Linked DNA regions of Drosophila melanogaster. The protein of the gene in region 2 interacts with the protein of the main gene of each other region in a pairwise test. Each region holds a gene or a part of one and is shown on either strand. Other genes may lie near its edges.

The links. Proteins that work in one complex are often made in the same cells at the same time.
Region 1: the proteins of mex1 (region 2) and ZnT41F interact in a two-hybrid assay, tested with the Drosophila melanogaster proteins (one large-scale study listed by BioGRID).
Region 3: the proteins of mex1 (region 2) and hoka interact in a two-hybrid assay, tested with the Drosophila melanogaster proteins (one large-scale study listed by BioGRID).

Annotation. Positions count from the first base shown.
Region 1 is NT_033778.4:5,779,587-5,784,957, reverse strand, and holds the start of ZnT41F (zinc transporter 41F), read left to right. Parts: upstream 1-2,099; 5' UTR 2,100-2,181; exon of another isoform or gene 2,182-2,659; intron 2,660-5,371.
Region 2 is NT_037436.4:15,516,731-15,521,596, reverse strand, and holds mex1 (midgut expression 1), read left to right. Parts: upstream 1-2,004; 5' UTR 2,005-2,087; coding exon 2,088-2,140; intron 2,141-2,811; exon of another isoform or gene 2,812-3,236; coding exon of another isoform or gene 3,237-3,289; intron 3,290-3,568; coding exon 3,569-3,767; 3' UTR 3,768-4,173; downstream 4,174-4,866. Other genes in the region: yellow-k, read right to left, coding at 1-977; CG13454 (uncharacterized protein), read left to right, coding at 4,571-4,866. UniProt on the Drosophila melanogaster protein: Involved in morphogenesis and development.
Region 3 is NT_037436.4:4,896,850-4,901,641, forward strand, and holds hoka (hoka), read left to right. Parts: upstream 1-2,050; 5' UTR 2,051-2,147; coding exon 2,148-2,193; intron 2,194-3,427; coding exon 3,428-3,511; intron 3,512-3,565; coding exon 3,566-3,846; 3' UTR 3,847-4,020; downstream 4,021-4,792. Other genes in the region: CG13705 (uncharacterized protein), read left to right, coding at 67-69, 141-1,436.

The sequences.
Region 1 (5,371 bases), on a different chromosome or scaffold from region 2:
GCTCCAAGCAAAAGATTTTCCAGATTAAGTTTCCGCCTGGGAAAAAACACACAAAAAAAATGTAGACCGCATACCGTTTTGCGGCGAGGAAAGCTCGCTAGATTATTATATCATTAACGCGCGCAGGCTATAATTTTCTAAAAAACAGTTGAATGAAAAAAATGTTCACGAATTGACTTTACGACGGTTCGATTAGAAAAGAAATAGAACGGAAACTCAAGCCTGGGTCTAGGCCATCAGAAGAAATCATGATCATCTGGAAATCACTCCATTTGTGATAACCAAGCTATCCAAAACTTTCCTAGTTCAGCTGATAAAGATTTGCATCTCGTCCAGTATATTTCCTATGACTAATACTGCATTTAATATGACCCTTGATTACACGCCCAAAGCTTGGCTCAAGCTTTCAGGGTGTTCTAACATAATAGCTTCAGGGGTCGCTACAAACTCCACCTATTAACTTTAATTAACCCTAATTAACAACTCTAATTCCTCTTCCAATTTGCACACCAATGTTTTCTCTAAGCATAGCTATTCTGTTTGAAATAACTTAGCTAAATGATCGTCGAAAGTGCATTTGCTTAATACATATACATACATTCATACACATACATTCTTTGTCAAATCAAAACACAACCAAAGAAAATTCGATTATTCATCCGTTCTTTATGACAAGCACCACTGCATACAACTGTTTTATAACAATCTCCTTTAATTGGTCCCGTTGTAATAAGAAATACCACATTCCGGGAAGCAGATTTTGCTTAAGTGCTTTTGCATCTTGATAAAAAGGATGGGGCGGGGATGAGAAAAAAGAAAGTAAGAAAACGAAATGGATTATCGGATTTCCTGCGATTTTTATTATAGGTAATATAATAATTTCATGAGCAGAAAGAAATCTTTAAAGGTATAATAATATATTTTACTTTAAGTTTAATCGTAAACTGAAAAGAACCTGACAACAAGACGATGGAAATTTCTCTCTTCAAAAATAAGTACGGATATAGTGATTAAAACACATTGAAAAAGTGATGAATTGAGCGGTGTTTAAGCGCCATTGATATCAACTAAATTGTAGAGTCGAATATGAATATGAATATATGATCCAGAAAATCCGTTTGAAAAATTTATATCTTACTTCCACTTTCTTGTTTTTAAGGATAAACGCCTTTCATATTACTATGTACATATTTTAATTTTAACAGTATTTGATAATACTGCTTTACTGTGGATGAACTTGATAAGGATCGAACCGCTGATAAGTCTAGTCTCAACTGTGTCGATTTATAGTTCCCCGATATCGAAACTCGTCATAAAGTGTAAATGTATTTTTTATAGCGCCAGAAACGTTATCTTGAACCTTATTTTTAAAGATTACCTTTTAGTCTTCGAGTTGTGTTTATAATCACGTTCGCGAGCACAAAAGTGTAGATAACGTCGACTTAATTTTCCGGTTACACTAAAGAAACCAATTGAAATGATCTGATATGTACCTTACATATACATAATCAGTGTCTAGCGTCTTCGGATCGGACGTTAAGGACGTTAAGAACTTCCTTTTTGCTTTTGGCTTTCAGATGCCTAATGATTTTTTTTTTTAAATTAAGAAATAGAATATAAACGAAAAGAGAATGCTATAGTCGAGTTCCCCGACTATCTCAGCTAGTGTGAATGCGAACCCGAAATTGCACGATTTATTTTTTTTATTGGGATATCGATAGATGTTGGGGAATAAAATGAGAAAAAACTTAAAATTTGACCGGTTCGGCAGCTTCAGGACGTTAGAGTGGGCGTATCAAAAATTTTTTTGGAAAATGGATACATGGGTCAACCTTCTATCATTTATAGTGCCAGAGATCTCGACGATCCTACTTATGGCACATTCTTTTCTGACTCCACTTAGCTGAGTGATGGGTATATGATATTTCTGATTGTAGAGGAACTAGACTCTTCTCTCTTATTTTGATAAGCGAACAACAGACGCAATTCCCAAGTCCTTTGAGAACCACTCAAGCGTCGCCACTCAAGAGAAAAATGCCCCCACTATCACTGTCTCGCTCTACCCAGAAACCAACTGAGAAGGCGACGCCGTCACCGCTGTTAGTTGAACTTCACGCGTCGCCGGGTGTGCCGGGAAGTAAGCAGTCGCTGACGATCGGAAATCTAAAACAATTACAGCGAGTAGGGCCGTGTACGATAAAAAGAGAACACCAGCTGATAGTGCACGACAGCGGAACATTATTGTAGTCTCTCAACTGAGTATTTCGTACATTCACATATTTTGTTTACATAGTCCATGCAATGCGCATATGGCTGGGAACTGGAAGATTTACAAAATACGATTGGATACGAACAAGTCATAATAATGATTTAAATTTTAATGTTCTGAAGAGTTTAAAATGAATATGTTTTTAATATCAGAATTTTACGCAATTAAGCCTAAATGAGACTAACGCCAATGGTTCAGTGTGATACGTGAGAGTGAATACAACGAATGGGCGCTCCGTTGTGATCTCTCTTTCCAACGGAACGTACATATGTACATTCATATGTATGTGCATAGTTATGTGCAGCATCAGCAGCTGAGTAGAAACATATGAGAGAAAGAGAGCCGCGGTCGAAATTATTACTCATTGCCAAAGTCAAACCTGCTGATAAGGTCAGTGCACGCTCAGCGCCGGCATTGTTTTCTTTACTTTGCTTTGACTTGCGGTTAAACTCTCTGGTTGGTGGAGGATCTAATTCTTATTGGTAGTTTTCTCGCAAAACGCTACGTCCCATAGCTACATATTTACAAATCAAATAGATTACAAACCACATCAATTTTAATACACGTATGCATGCTATTAGAAATTATATTATGTTATATATACATGTATATATGTATATAATATAATGGGTTAAATATGCCAAAAAAAAAGGTGCTCTAGAACACCTAGCCAAGAAAATGAAATACGAGCCCCAACTACTATTATTGTTTTGTATTGTGTTTCGAACAGCATGTGTTTTTTGCGGTGTGCAATGTTCAACACACGATATGTATACTCATTACTACTACAGATAACGTATGCAAAAGTATTTAGTCTGAAAGAGAATTTTATTCTCTTCATGTTGATAAAAAATGTTATATTTTCAACAACAACAACAGAGATAAGAAAAAAAGGCCACTATTAATTCGAACGCTGCAAAGTATAACAGACTAATTAACATAAGAATTGTGTAACGTCGCGTCCTGGGCTGTATTACACATTAAATACGTTTTGGCATTGATTTAAAAAAATTTTGGCCATGTTCTCGAGAAATCGATACCCACATCTCTTTGAGGTCACAAATGTTCCTCTGTGGTTCATTCGAAGCTTTCTTTTCATTAGCCACCAAATATTGTTTATGGGGCCTAGATCTGGACTATCTAGCCAATCTAAAACCTCCACTTGCTTATATTGTAGTCAATTTTCCTACTGAATCCTTTCCCGAGCCCATTGCAAACTCGTTTTTTTTTTTGCGAAGCGTAAGCAAGGGTTTTTCCGTGGCCTACAAGTAGAGTAAAAGGGTATACTAGATTCTTTGAAAAAGTATATATATTCTTGATATGGATCAATAGCCGAGTCGATCTGACCCTGCCCGTCTGTCCGTCCGTCCGTATGAACGTCGAGATCTTAGGAACTATAGAAGTTAAAGAGTTGAGATTAGGGATACAGTTTTCAGAGAGATAGTTTTTACTATCTACTAGTTACTATTATTATTATTACTATTATTACTATTATTACTACTATTTACTATAGTACTAGTTTTACAATACCAGTATTTCGACACTGTTTTAATTTGATATTCGAAACCATAATAACAGTCGCAAAATGTTTGGATTGTTAACAATTTTAGATTCTTTGCCTTAGCCGTTTGTTGGCTTTACATTTTTTGGGAAGACAAATGGTAGAATATACAAAATGAAAATACAAAATGTGATCGTGTCAGCTTAAGCGATAATGGTAAGGTTTTGAATCAAACTTACATACATAGCGATTTGATTACCCTGTAGCTTTTATAGTTCCCGATATCTCTCGATATTCATCTCTTGCCCTCCAACTAGACAGGAAAAGGGTATCTTATTGTCTATCAAAGATAATAACAAGCTCTTCTGGCGATTTGATTGGCAACAATATGCTTTCGGTCAAAACCTGCCGAGAAAACCCAACGCTGATAACCCAACGGCACACAAGCTAGTAGGACTACTTTTGCTGATAAGCATACATGAATCAAATGAAAAAGGTTTAAATTGCCAGTAGAGTTCCACCAACGTGCGATCCGTTGTTGATAAATGCATATCTACATTACTTAAGTTGTGGAGTGTAATAAATTTAATTGGTTAGTCCTTAAATTCTAACAAGAGAGAATGCTGTATTCGAGTTCCCCGACCATCCGATACCCTTTACTCAGCTAGTGGGATTGCGAATGCGAAATTATTCATAAATGAATAAAATAAAATGAGAATGAAATGAAAAAAATTAAAAATTGACAAGATAAACAATAAAACGAAGAAAAATCGACAAACTTGCGTCTGTATGCTTGATTTCAGCCGTCTAGCTTTTATAGTTTCTGAAATCAAGACGTTCATAGTATGACGTTCATACGGATAGACGGCCATGGCCAGATCCTATTCAAGAATATATATACTTTATGTGGTTGGAAACGCTTCCTTCTGCCTGTTCCATATTTTTCCACGTATCTAGTATACCCTTTTACATTACTAGTAACGGGTATAATAAACAACATTTTGTTTAGCTATCATTATACGTACATTGTATAGAATAATCAATTTACCTTATAAGAGTTCCTTAAGAGTTAACTTAAAATGAAAACGTTTCTAATCTGCAATAAACTACCACTGTATTATTTAAAATTTTTGTAAAATCCACGTTTAGGCAATCCACGTTTAAGCAGGGTTTAACATATGGGACCATATAATCTTCTATGTAATTTCTTGCACGCTTAGCTTGAAGTTTACATAAAGGGGCTTACATAAATAGGATGCTGGAAGTGATCATGAATTCCTCTCCCTGAAAATTATTTTTTAAATGCTGCCCTTGTTACACATTTCCCTAGACATAAGGAAAACAAGAGAGAATGCTATAGTCGAGTTCCCCGACTATCAGATACCCGTTATCATTTTTTTTATTTACGTTATCAATATTAAAATGTTTATAACTAATTTCCAAAAGAGATACCATTGTTGGCCTCGGGAGTTTTGACCGACTTGCTCTTAGTTGCCATAATGTTTTCGATTTCGTCTGGCTTTCATATTTCTACTTTACCTACAATAATCAATATTTATGAATTTTATTTAAAGATCTTCTTCGAGTTTCTTACCCTGAAG
Region 2 (4,866 bases):
ACCCATAATGCATCATTGGAGGTGAAGAAAATCTGCTGAATGTTCTTCGATGTGATATATATGATTTCGTTGCCCTCGGCTGTGATGTTGGCTAGTTTGGCACATCGTACGACAGCTCCGAATTTGGGGATAACATAGTACAATGTTCCGAAATTGTCGATGATCATGCTGCGACTGCTGCCCAGAAGACTGCCCAAATGTGTGAGTTTAATGCTATTGTTAATTGGTTTGCTTGCTAATTCGCTTTTGCCTTCAATTTCCAGTCTGTCCACCGTACTGTATAGATCACCATCCTGGTCGGAGAGTATGAGTTCCCCTTGAATTCCGAAGATGAAATCCACTGGCTTGATGGGAAACGATTGATTCATATTCTCGTACTTATTGCTCTCCAAGGATAGGCGGTGCCACGTCTGCTCCAGGATGTCGTAGGCTAGAATTTCTGGTACCTTTCCAAGGATGAAGTAAATATGGCGCTCGTGCTCGCATCCCGGACTCTTGGGTCCCATTTGGACAGTCAGAAAGTGGGTGTCATTAGCACCTATATGGTGTCCACAATCGATTCTCAATAGCTCCGCGTTGTTACGCATCAGATCGAAGACAAACAAACGGGGTGAGCACGTGCTGCCGGGAAATCCGATGTCCATGACCCACAGTCGACTCAGTGCATCCACCTGGGACCAGTGTGCCTGTTGTACCAGAGAGCAATCATCATGATCCCCCATGGAATGAACATCGATGTGGGGAAAGACGACAGTGGGCATGGGAAAATAGGAAACCGGCCATTGCGCCTCGATCAAAGTGGGCGCATCGTTGCTTTCTACATTTACGCTGAGAAACACTCGCGAAAAGTGCATCGATAGATGACGGACTTTGTAGCTGGATTCGTTTAAACCAGATTCGGATAACAGCCAGGCGTCCGTGGCCAGAATTAGACCAACAATGAGAAATCCCAAGCCGAGGACACCATGTGTGACCATCTTTAAACGCGAATTCAGACTGAGCTTAGGGCTAGAGAACTCTGCTTACGTTGTAAGTGCCCGTTCAAGAAGTCCACCAAAGTGTCTACATCAGCAGTTGGGATCGGGTGTCGCCGAATATATCGGCGACCTGCATTAATGGGGACCAGCATTGGAGTGTTTCTCTATTCACTTGTGGTCCCAAAAAAAAAAAGCTTACCAATTTCAATCGGAGAATATCGAAATCATGACACAGTTTCCTCTTAAAATTACCCAAAATTGGATTGTTATATTTTTCAAAATAAATCAAAGTTAAAACCAACAAAATGGTTGTTTTGTACCACCATAATAACCTATAATAAATAAATCATAATAAGGCTATTTTTGTCGAACTTTAGCGATATTGATAAGGTTCCTGTGAACTGAACCTACCTTAAGTGCTTAGTTTTAACATAACCTTAATGTTAACGAGTATTTCTTCGCGTAAAAGTACAAAAAAACCCTATCATATCTTTACAGCCATTATAAAGATTGCTTATAGATGACTGATTTCACTTGGGAATTGCCAAAAAGCTAAAGTGAACCCCCGAGGAATCAATTAATGTTGTTTAGCTTTCAGTTTTTAGTACATTCGTATTTTTTTAAGTATTAAAATTATTTAATCACACGAATAAACATTAAGAAATATTTTATTCTGGAAACTTTCTTCGTTATAGAGCATTTATCGTTGTAAAAAAAATAATTTCATTAGTTTACATTACATTTTCGTTTATATGTTTAGATTTTTTCTAATTAAATGATATTGTATAATTTATTGCAAAAATTATAATACTCACTTCAAATAATCTGAAACAAATCCACCCACTCCGAAAAATGTGGTAAGCTTTATTTTCTAACACCTCTCTTCTGATTTTATTGATTATAACTGGAATCTTTATCGGTTTCTCTCTTTTTCCATCAGTAGGTTGAGAGCTTTTCATACTTTTCACGCCGAAATGGGAAAAATGGCACTGCGCGTAGAGTCAGTTATCCATTTGAGTTGGCCAAGATCAGATCGAAATACGCTAAAATCATTTTCGGGAGCACAATCGAATACTCATACAACACACACTTCAAACGAGGATTATCATCATGTGCAACGCCATTTGTGAATGCCTTAAATGTCCTGGCAAAGTTATTTGCTGGTAAGTTTCCATCAGATTGAATATCCTTTTAAATTAAGTATTAAATAAATAATTACACAAAAATGGATAGTCGACTTTAGGCTTTTTTTAACTATTATGGTTTTACCATAGAGATAAGGTTTGATGAAAAATCCCCCAACAGCGTTATTTTCGTGGTATTTCAAGTACTATTCCTGGTATTGGCAGCTTAATTGACAACTTTCCACTATCAGCTAATAGGTTTTTTTTTTATAGAGATTGCTAAATCCTCGAGGCATTACAATACTCTTCATATTGAGCAGAATTTCTAGAAAGCTCCTACCATAGTTAATGATCAATGATAACAGGTATATTACTTCCTGCTCAGTAATGCCTTAAATATAGAAAGTTTGTTGTTGGTAAAAACCGCTTCTATTGCCACAAAGTTGATTGTTGTCTTTAAACAATCTAGAACGGATGAGACATACATATCTTTAAACGAACAAAACAATTTGTCATTGTCACAAACATTCTGCGCCCTACTCTAGTTAAAAATGATTCATCTACCTTTGCGACCCTAATCAAATTCTTTGGTTATTTTTTTTTTGTTTTGATTTGGAACAAAATAGTCAATAAAATCAAATGTAGGGAATTATGTGCTGGAATCGACGCTTAATCGTTGTCATTGTGTTTATCGTCGTGCTAACAGTAGTTTTCTTTATAATATTTCATATATATGATAAGTATTACGATCAATCCCTCTTCACTCGAGATGTTTAAGTGGCAAATAGCTTTATTCTGTATTTTTATTCTGCTGGATGCACCAGTACGAAAATGATGGATAATACGATACAGATACCTCGGTCGAATGGAAACATTGTAAGCTCCGTTTTCCAATAACTCTCACCCATTTTTCTCACTGGCGTAGTGATAATTATAGTCGACTTGTTATCAGTCTATTTGTTATTTTTTCGGCCGATATGATTAAAGCTTTCAATACCTGTAGACCCCAAAATGCGGTCGATGACAGTTACCCGCTTCAGTTAATATTTTGTGTTGGTCAACCACGCATCGGGAATCGGAAATATACTGTACAGTATATCTATCTATAATAGAATAACCCAAAAAAGTCATCACCATGTGCAACGCTCTCTGTGAATGCCTCAAATGTCCCGGCAAAGTGGTTTGCTGGTAAGTTTCCATCGGTTTCTGGCTCACTAATCATCATATACAAATATATACTATATATATATAAATTATATGTGAGAGCTCTTGACCAGCTCTGGATGAAGCCAATTTGGGAAATTTAGAAATGGGTATCTTCAGTTACAAGCATCCTAAGTATTCGGGATTCAACCTGATTGAAATGAACTAATTGAACTGATCTGACAACAAGATCTGACATCCAGGATATCTCCATCTTGATCATGTGTAAAACTTTTCTAATCAGATCTTTCCATATCCTTGCAGCTGCTGTTCCTGCGCCTGCAAGATGCTCCTGAGCATCGTGTTTTCTGCGCTCCTGATGGTCGTGGTGATCGGCTTGATTGTCTACTTCACGGTCTTCTATCACAAGGATAAGAACACGGATGAGGTGCAGAAGCAGGTCGCCCAACTGACGCCCATTGTGAAGCGCAGCATACGCGACTACTTCAACAAGGAGTACTGATCTGAGGACATGAATTTATACTATAGGCCATATTAATAATAACTCCGTCGAAATCGAAATTGAAACGAACTAAGAACCAAAGCCGTTCAGTGCATGACTTAATCTAATCGCGTCGGATGCTCGTTATGGGATTTTTTCTTATCTATAGATAGTTTGGGACTCAATTGAATGGGCAATTTGTGCGTTCTTTAGAAAGGTAGATAATGTTGGAGCGGCAAAAAATGTGACTCACTGTATACCTTACAATACATTTTGAACTCGAAACCCAGTAAAGCATTCACAATATATATTTAATGTATAATATGTATGAATGTAAGGCAGATTAAAAAAGTTATATTGTACTGGATGACACACTATAAACAAGACAATAAAACTAAAATATCTATAGAAAATTGAAAGTGGAAATAAAAGTAAGTGTATCATTAATTAATAGCATCTCTACATACTGGCTTTTAAAATTTGTAAATCTAAAATAAGCTAATATTTTAAGCTTGGGGGAAAGAAATTAGAAAACTTCGTTATTGAAGTGTGAGATATTCACTAATAAATATTTGAGCTAGGGAAGTTCAAATATTTTTTTAAGATGAGGGTTTACCAGCAGGGAAACCCCTCATTACCACAGTCCTTCCAGCTGTTTTCCTAGTTTTATGTACACCATTGTTTGGGATCAGGTAGCCTAGAACACCGTCGAGGGTTGAAAAGTGTCCAAGATCTGGTGGTCCGTTCAAATGCATTTCAAACTCGTCCCCTTGACTTGCTTCAATCAACTTTGGGCTCAGTTGTTCGCCAGCATCAGGTTCACAATGTCCTCCGATTCCACGCTGTACTTCAGTGCCGTCGAGGATATGTTCAAGGAAGTGTTAACAATAGGGGACGAGAAGAGGGATCCTGGAAACGAGGATTTCTCCGAAACACCTAAACGTTGCGTACGATTGCGCCAGCAAAAGTTGTTCGCGAACGATACCGCGAGTTTTGTGATAGGTCGCCGTTCGCCGAGGATTGAATCCAAAATCGATCTCAACAGAGATGTATCTCCTGGAAGGCGAAAGGAGCTGCGCGGCGAGGAAATCCTTCGGATGCGCAAGGATCGGGCGGAAAA
Region 3 (4,792 bases), about 11 Mb from region 2:
TCTGGTTTGAAAACAGAATCAACTTTGGATTAATCTAGCAGACATCGTCTTGGATCTTCTGGAAAAATGGTTAGTTCTCCAGCAGTCATCCTGCGACCAGGACTAACCCATAACCCTCTCCTTCGCTTATTGCCTTGCAGAAATTCTTTGTCATTGCCTTTGCTGTGATCGCAGCTGCCTCGGCGGCCTCCATTGCCACGGATTACCTGCCGCCAGTGGACAACAACCTGGAATCTGCCTCCGAACTCGTGGAGGTGCCCGCCGAGCAGGGAGTTCTCTCCGACGATGGATACCGCTACAAGACCGTGCGCCGCCTGAAGTTGCGCCACCGTCGTGATGTGAACGAGCTCCCCTCCGGTGAATACCTGCCCCCTGTTGAGGAATCCGCCTCCGAAGCCGTTGCCGTCGAGACTCCTCTGGCTGATGATGGCTACCGTTACAAGACCGTCCGCCGTGTGATCCGTCGTCGTCGTGATGTCTCCGAACTCTCCCCTGAGTACCTGCCCCCTGTTGAGGAGTCCGCCTCCGAGGCTGTTGCTGTCGAGACTCCCCTGGCTGATGATGGCTACCGCTACAAGACTGTCCGCCGTGTGATCCGTCGTCGTCGTGATGTCTCCGAACTCTCCCCTGAGTACCTGCCCCCTGTTGAGGAGTCCGCCTCCGAGGCTGTTGCCGTCGAGACTCCCCTGGCTGATGATGGCTACCGCTACAAGACTGTCCGCCGTGTGATCCGTCGTCGTCGTGATGTTTCCGAGCTGTCCCCTGAATACCTGCCCCCTGTTGAGGAGTCCGCCTCTGAGGCTGTTGCTGTGGACACCCCTCTTGCTGATGATGGTTACCGTTACAAGACCGTCCGCCGTGTGATCCGTCGTCGTCGTGATGTCAATGAGCTTCCTTCCGGCGAGTACCTGCCCCCCGTTGAGGAGTCTGCCTCCGAGGCTGTTGCTGTTGAGACCCCTCTGGCTGCTGATGGATACCGCTACAAGACTGTCCGTCGTGTGATCCGTCGCCGTCGTGATGTAAACGAGCTGTCCGCCGAATACCTGCCCCCTGTTGAGGAATCCGCCTCCGAAGCCGTTGCCGTCGAGACTCCTCTGGCTGATGATGGATACCGCTACAAGACCGTGCGTCGTGTGATCCGTCGTCGTCGTGATGTCTCCGAGCTGTCCCCTGAATACCTGCCCCCTGTTGAGGAGTCCGCCTCCGAGGCTGTTGCTGTGGAGACTCCCCTGGCTGATGATGGATACCGCTACAAGACCGTGCGTCGTGTGATCCGTCGCCGCCGTGATGTCTCTGAGCTGCCTTCCGGCGAGTACCTGCCCCCCGTGGAGGAGACCGCCTCTGCCATCATTGATGTGCCCGCCGAGCAGACCGTCCTGGCCAGCGATGGCTACCGCTACAAGACCGTCCGTCGTCTGAAGCTCCGTCGCCACTAAGCCGCCGATTGCGCCAACTCCCACCGCAGCATTTGAGATTTTCGAGGATGTTTTTCCAGAAGAAGTCCTGACTTTGACAGTCTCAGATTGAAACTAACAATAAGTCGAGCGTATTAGTCAATTTGAATCCACTATGAACAACCCGAGTACAAACCCGAACTTACAATAATAAACATTTTTAAAACAAATATCCTACAACTACTATATCTTTTTGCAGAATATTTTTAAATATTCGAACTATCTTTTAAACAATATGCCTAGGATTGGGATAAAGCTTATAAAGTCGAAGGAGTTGGTGAAAAGATTTTATAAAAATATTTTTTAAAATGGGCAATAAATAAAGAAGACTCTTATTGTCCTTCGATAGTACAGATATAAAATATTGTGTAAGGACTTGAACTCAACGAATTTTGCATATTGAACATGTTAGGCTTAGAAATATAGGAGACATTTTAGATTGAACATAAATGAAACTATTTTTTTCAGTGCTGATGACCTCAGAAGTAATATATAGCGGGAGAAAAGAGAGCCTTCTAATCTTATCAATGAAAGATAAGGTGCTTTGAGATAAGATACTAGCACCTGCCGACGAATGCAATCACGCACAGGTTTTTAGTTCCACTTTGGAGTCGACGACGTGCGCGTTACAAACTTGGCTAACAGCTAAAAGCGAACATAAGTTTTTCGAAAGAACCGACGAAAACGACGGAAATGAAGTTGGCTAAGAAGTGCTCCACCTACTTGGTGATATGCCTGGGTAAAGTTCTGCATGCTCGTTCGAATCTGCCGAGTTTTGAGTGCCAACTAGAGATACGCAGCACACCGGCGAGATACTTTTTGGTGCATGTGTGTGGGCGGAGTATTGTGCATGTGTGAGACTTTAACGCATTATGATGCACTGATGCATCCGTATGATTCCATAGGTGTGGGGTTTTAATAACCCAACTTCAGCAATTGGAGACTCTAACGATGAGTAACTGGGCCAAGTGTGCGTCACACAATCAGGCACAAGAAAACTCTACAAAAATGTGTGCTTATCAGTGCGATTCAGATAAGCACTGTGTTTACTCATTGTTGCCCCATCACTTGGTGTGCTTAACTTTAGGGCGTGGTGAATCAGTGAGTTCAGAGGGAAATCTTTTTGGATTGAAAGGTATCCCAAATAAAACATATAATTTAGCTGGCAGTGAGTAAATGCGAAATCATTTCCTTTGATTTCATGCAATTTTTATTAGGCCAAAAGTCCAATGCCCTAAAACCGGAAGTGGCATAATTATTGCGCATATAAATTATGAAATATGTTAGACAAAAAAGTGAATGAAAACAATTAATATTGGTTAGCGGTTGGCCAACGAAAATCGGTCGCACTCTTAGCCACATACATTTGGCGGATGGGTTTTGTCAAATGCCTGTCTCCATGAATCACCGACTAATCGAATCGAGGAAAAATCTATACACTTTCCATATCGACAAACAAATCCATTTAATATTTCATACGCAAAATATGCCGAATGAGCTGAACGAACACACACATAAAATATTATTAATTAAAAATACATTTTGATAATTTTACGTGAAATCGAATCTGACATCCGCAATGGAACAATGGGGAAGGAATATGCCAGCTCACATTTATCATCGAAGAAGTTGGCGCGCGCGCGCTATTTTGGCTCAATCAGAATCAGCGTTTTTTGTTGATTTTGGCCCGGCTCTGTTGTTAAACATTTTCTCAACGATTAATTGTTAATATCTTAACAAGTCTTCGCGCATTTGAAGATCTATATGATGAATGGTCTTGCTGTTATTTCAATGAGTTCCGTTTGGCTTGGGTTTGATGGATGCTTCAAAGCCAATGCCGCAATCTTACCAGGCCACCTTCGACCACACGCCGCGTGATCATTGAAAAAATGTGTATGATGTGTGTTTTGCGCCTCGGACGAATCACTATGTCTAACAAATATTAAATTTGTATATTCTTTTCTATTCTGTAGTACTGTTGGCCTGCTGCCTGCAAGAATCGGAGGCCACGCGACGTGTGAACCGCGGACGACGCACCCTTACCCGCAGATACTTCAGTAAGTGATGCCGTATACGTGATCGATATTGCTCAACATTGTTATTTCTTGCAGCTGGCCTTGCTATTCCCGGATGGGCTCTCATCGTTTGTGTAGCGGTAGGTGAGCTGCTGATTGGTGGAGCCCTCTACTTCATCCTCAAGAAGGTGATCCTGGACAAGGAACCAGATCAGACGGCGGCCTCCTACACGCCCGCCCAGACTCATGCGACGGCCACACCTTATACTCCCGCCCAGACTCACGATCCGGCCACGGCCACAACCTATACTCCTGCCCAGACTCATGAGACGGCCAATGTGACTCCCACTCCAACGCATGCCACCGCTATTGTCTGAGGAGATGTGTACAGATCCAAGTGACCACTTTTGGTTCATAACCCTTTCCAAATCAGTTCAAATTCCACCATTAACTAGCTTTATTGTCATTTAATCGACACACAAATAGAACCTGTGCCCTTTGTCTACCTTCATTTTCGAATAAAATTATTTGCCACTTATCTGGCGCCAAACTAGCTTCACATTTGTACGGTTAAACGGTTTTTAAGACGATACACGCTGGCTTTTAACATTTTATTGCACCGGCTAAGCGGCCCAATATCCGCCCAAGACCGATCCAGTTTGTCTACTCATTGTCTGCACCACACGCAACGCTAATTTATATCTAATTAAATCAAACTGGTTTTGAGTTTTGGATTTTTCATAGCCCATGCTGGGGATGAAGATTAATTAGATGAATAGATTTGTAAGCAAATTAATGCCTACTTTTGGGGCTGCGGAAATACTAGCTATTTTCAAGCTACACCCAATATAAAATATCAAAGGGTGTACGGATTATGAGCGGAGTCACCCGGTGCTTCAGCTGTCTTAACAGCGGATTAACATTTTATATATCGATGCTAATTGAACTGAACTGTATTCTTTCTTTCTCCATTGTAATTTTGCGGTCATAGCGATCAGACGTGATTTTTGTATATGAAGAAATAAATGAAGTTAAATAGTGTATATATGATTCTTATTTGCGAACCCCATTACAATGATGTCAAAGCAGTGAGGCATCACAACTATTCATTGGTGGCCCATGAGGGGAACCTTGCTCATAAGAATCATAATTAATAATTGCTAAAAGCTGTTTGGCAATTTTATCTTCGTGGTCGGCTTCATCCAGATAAATCACCGTGCCTACGTTTTCTATCGCGCTCGCTCTCATCACGACAGAGCAGTATACGCAAACGTTCGCGCTCGCTCTCATCACGACAGAGCTAAGTCCCGTTGCCCTTCGATT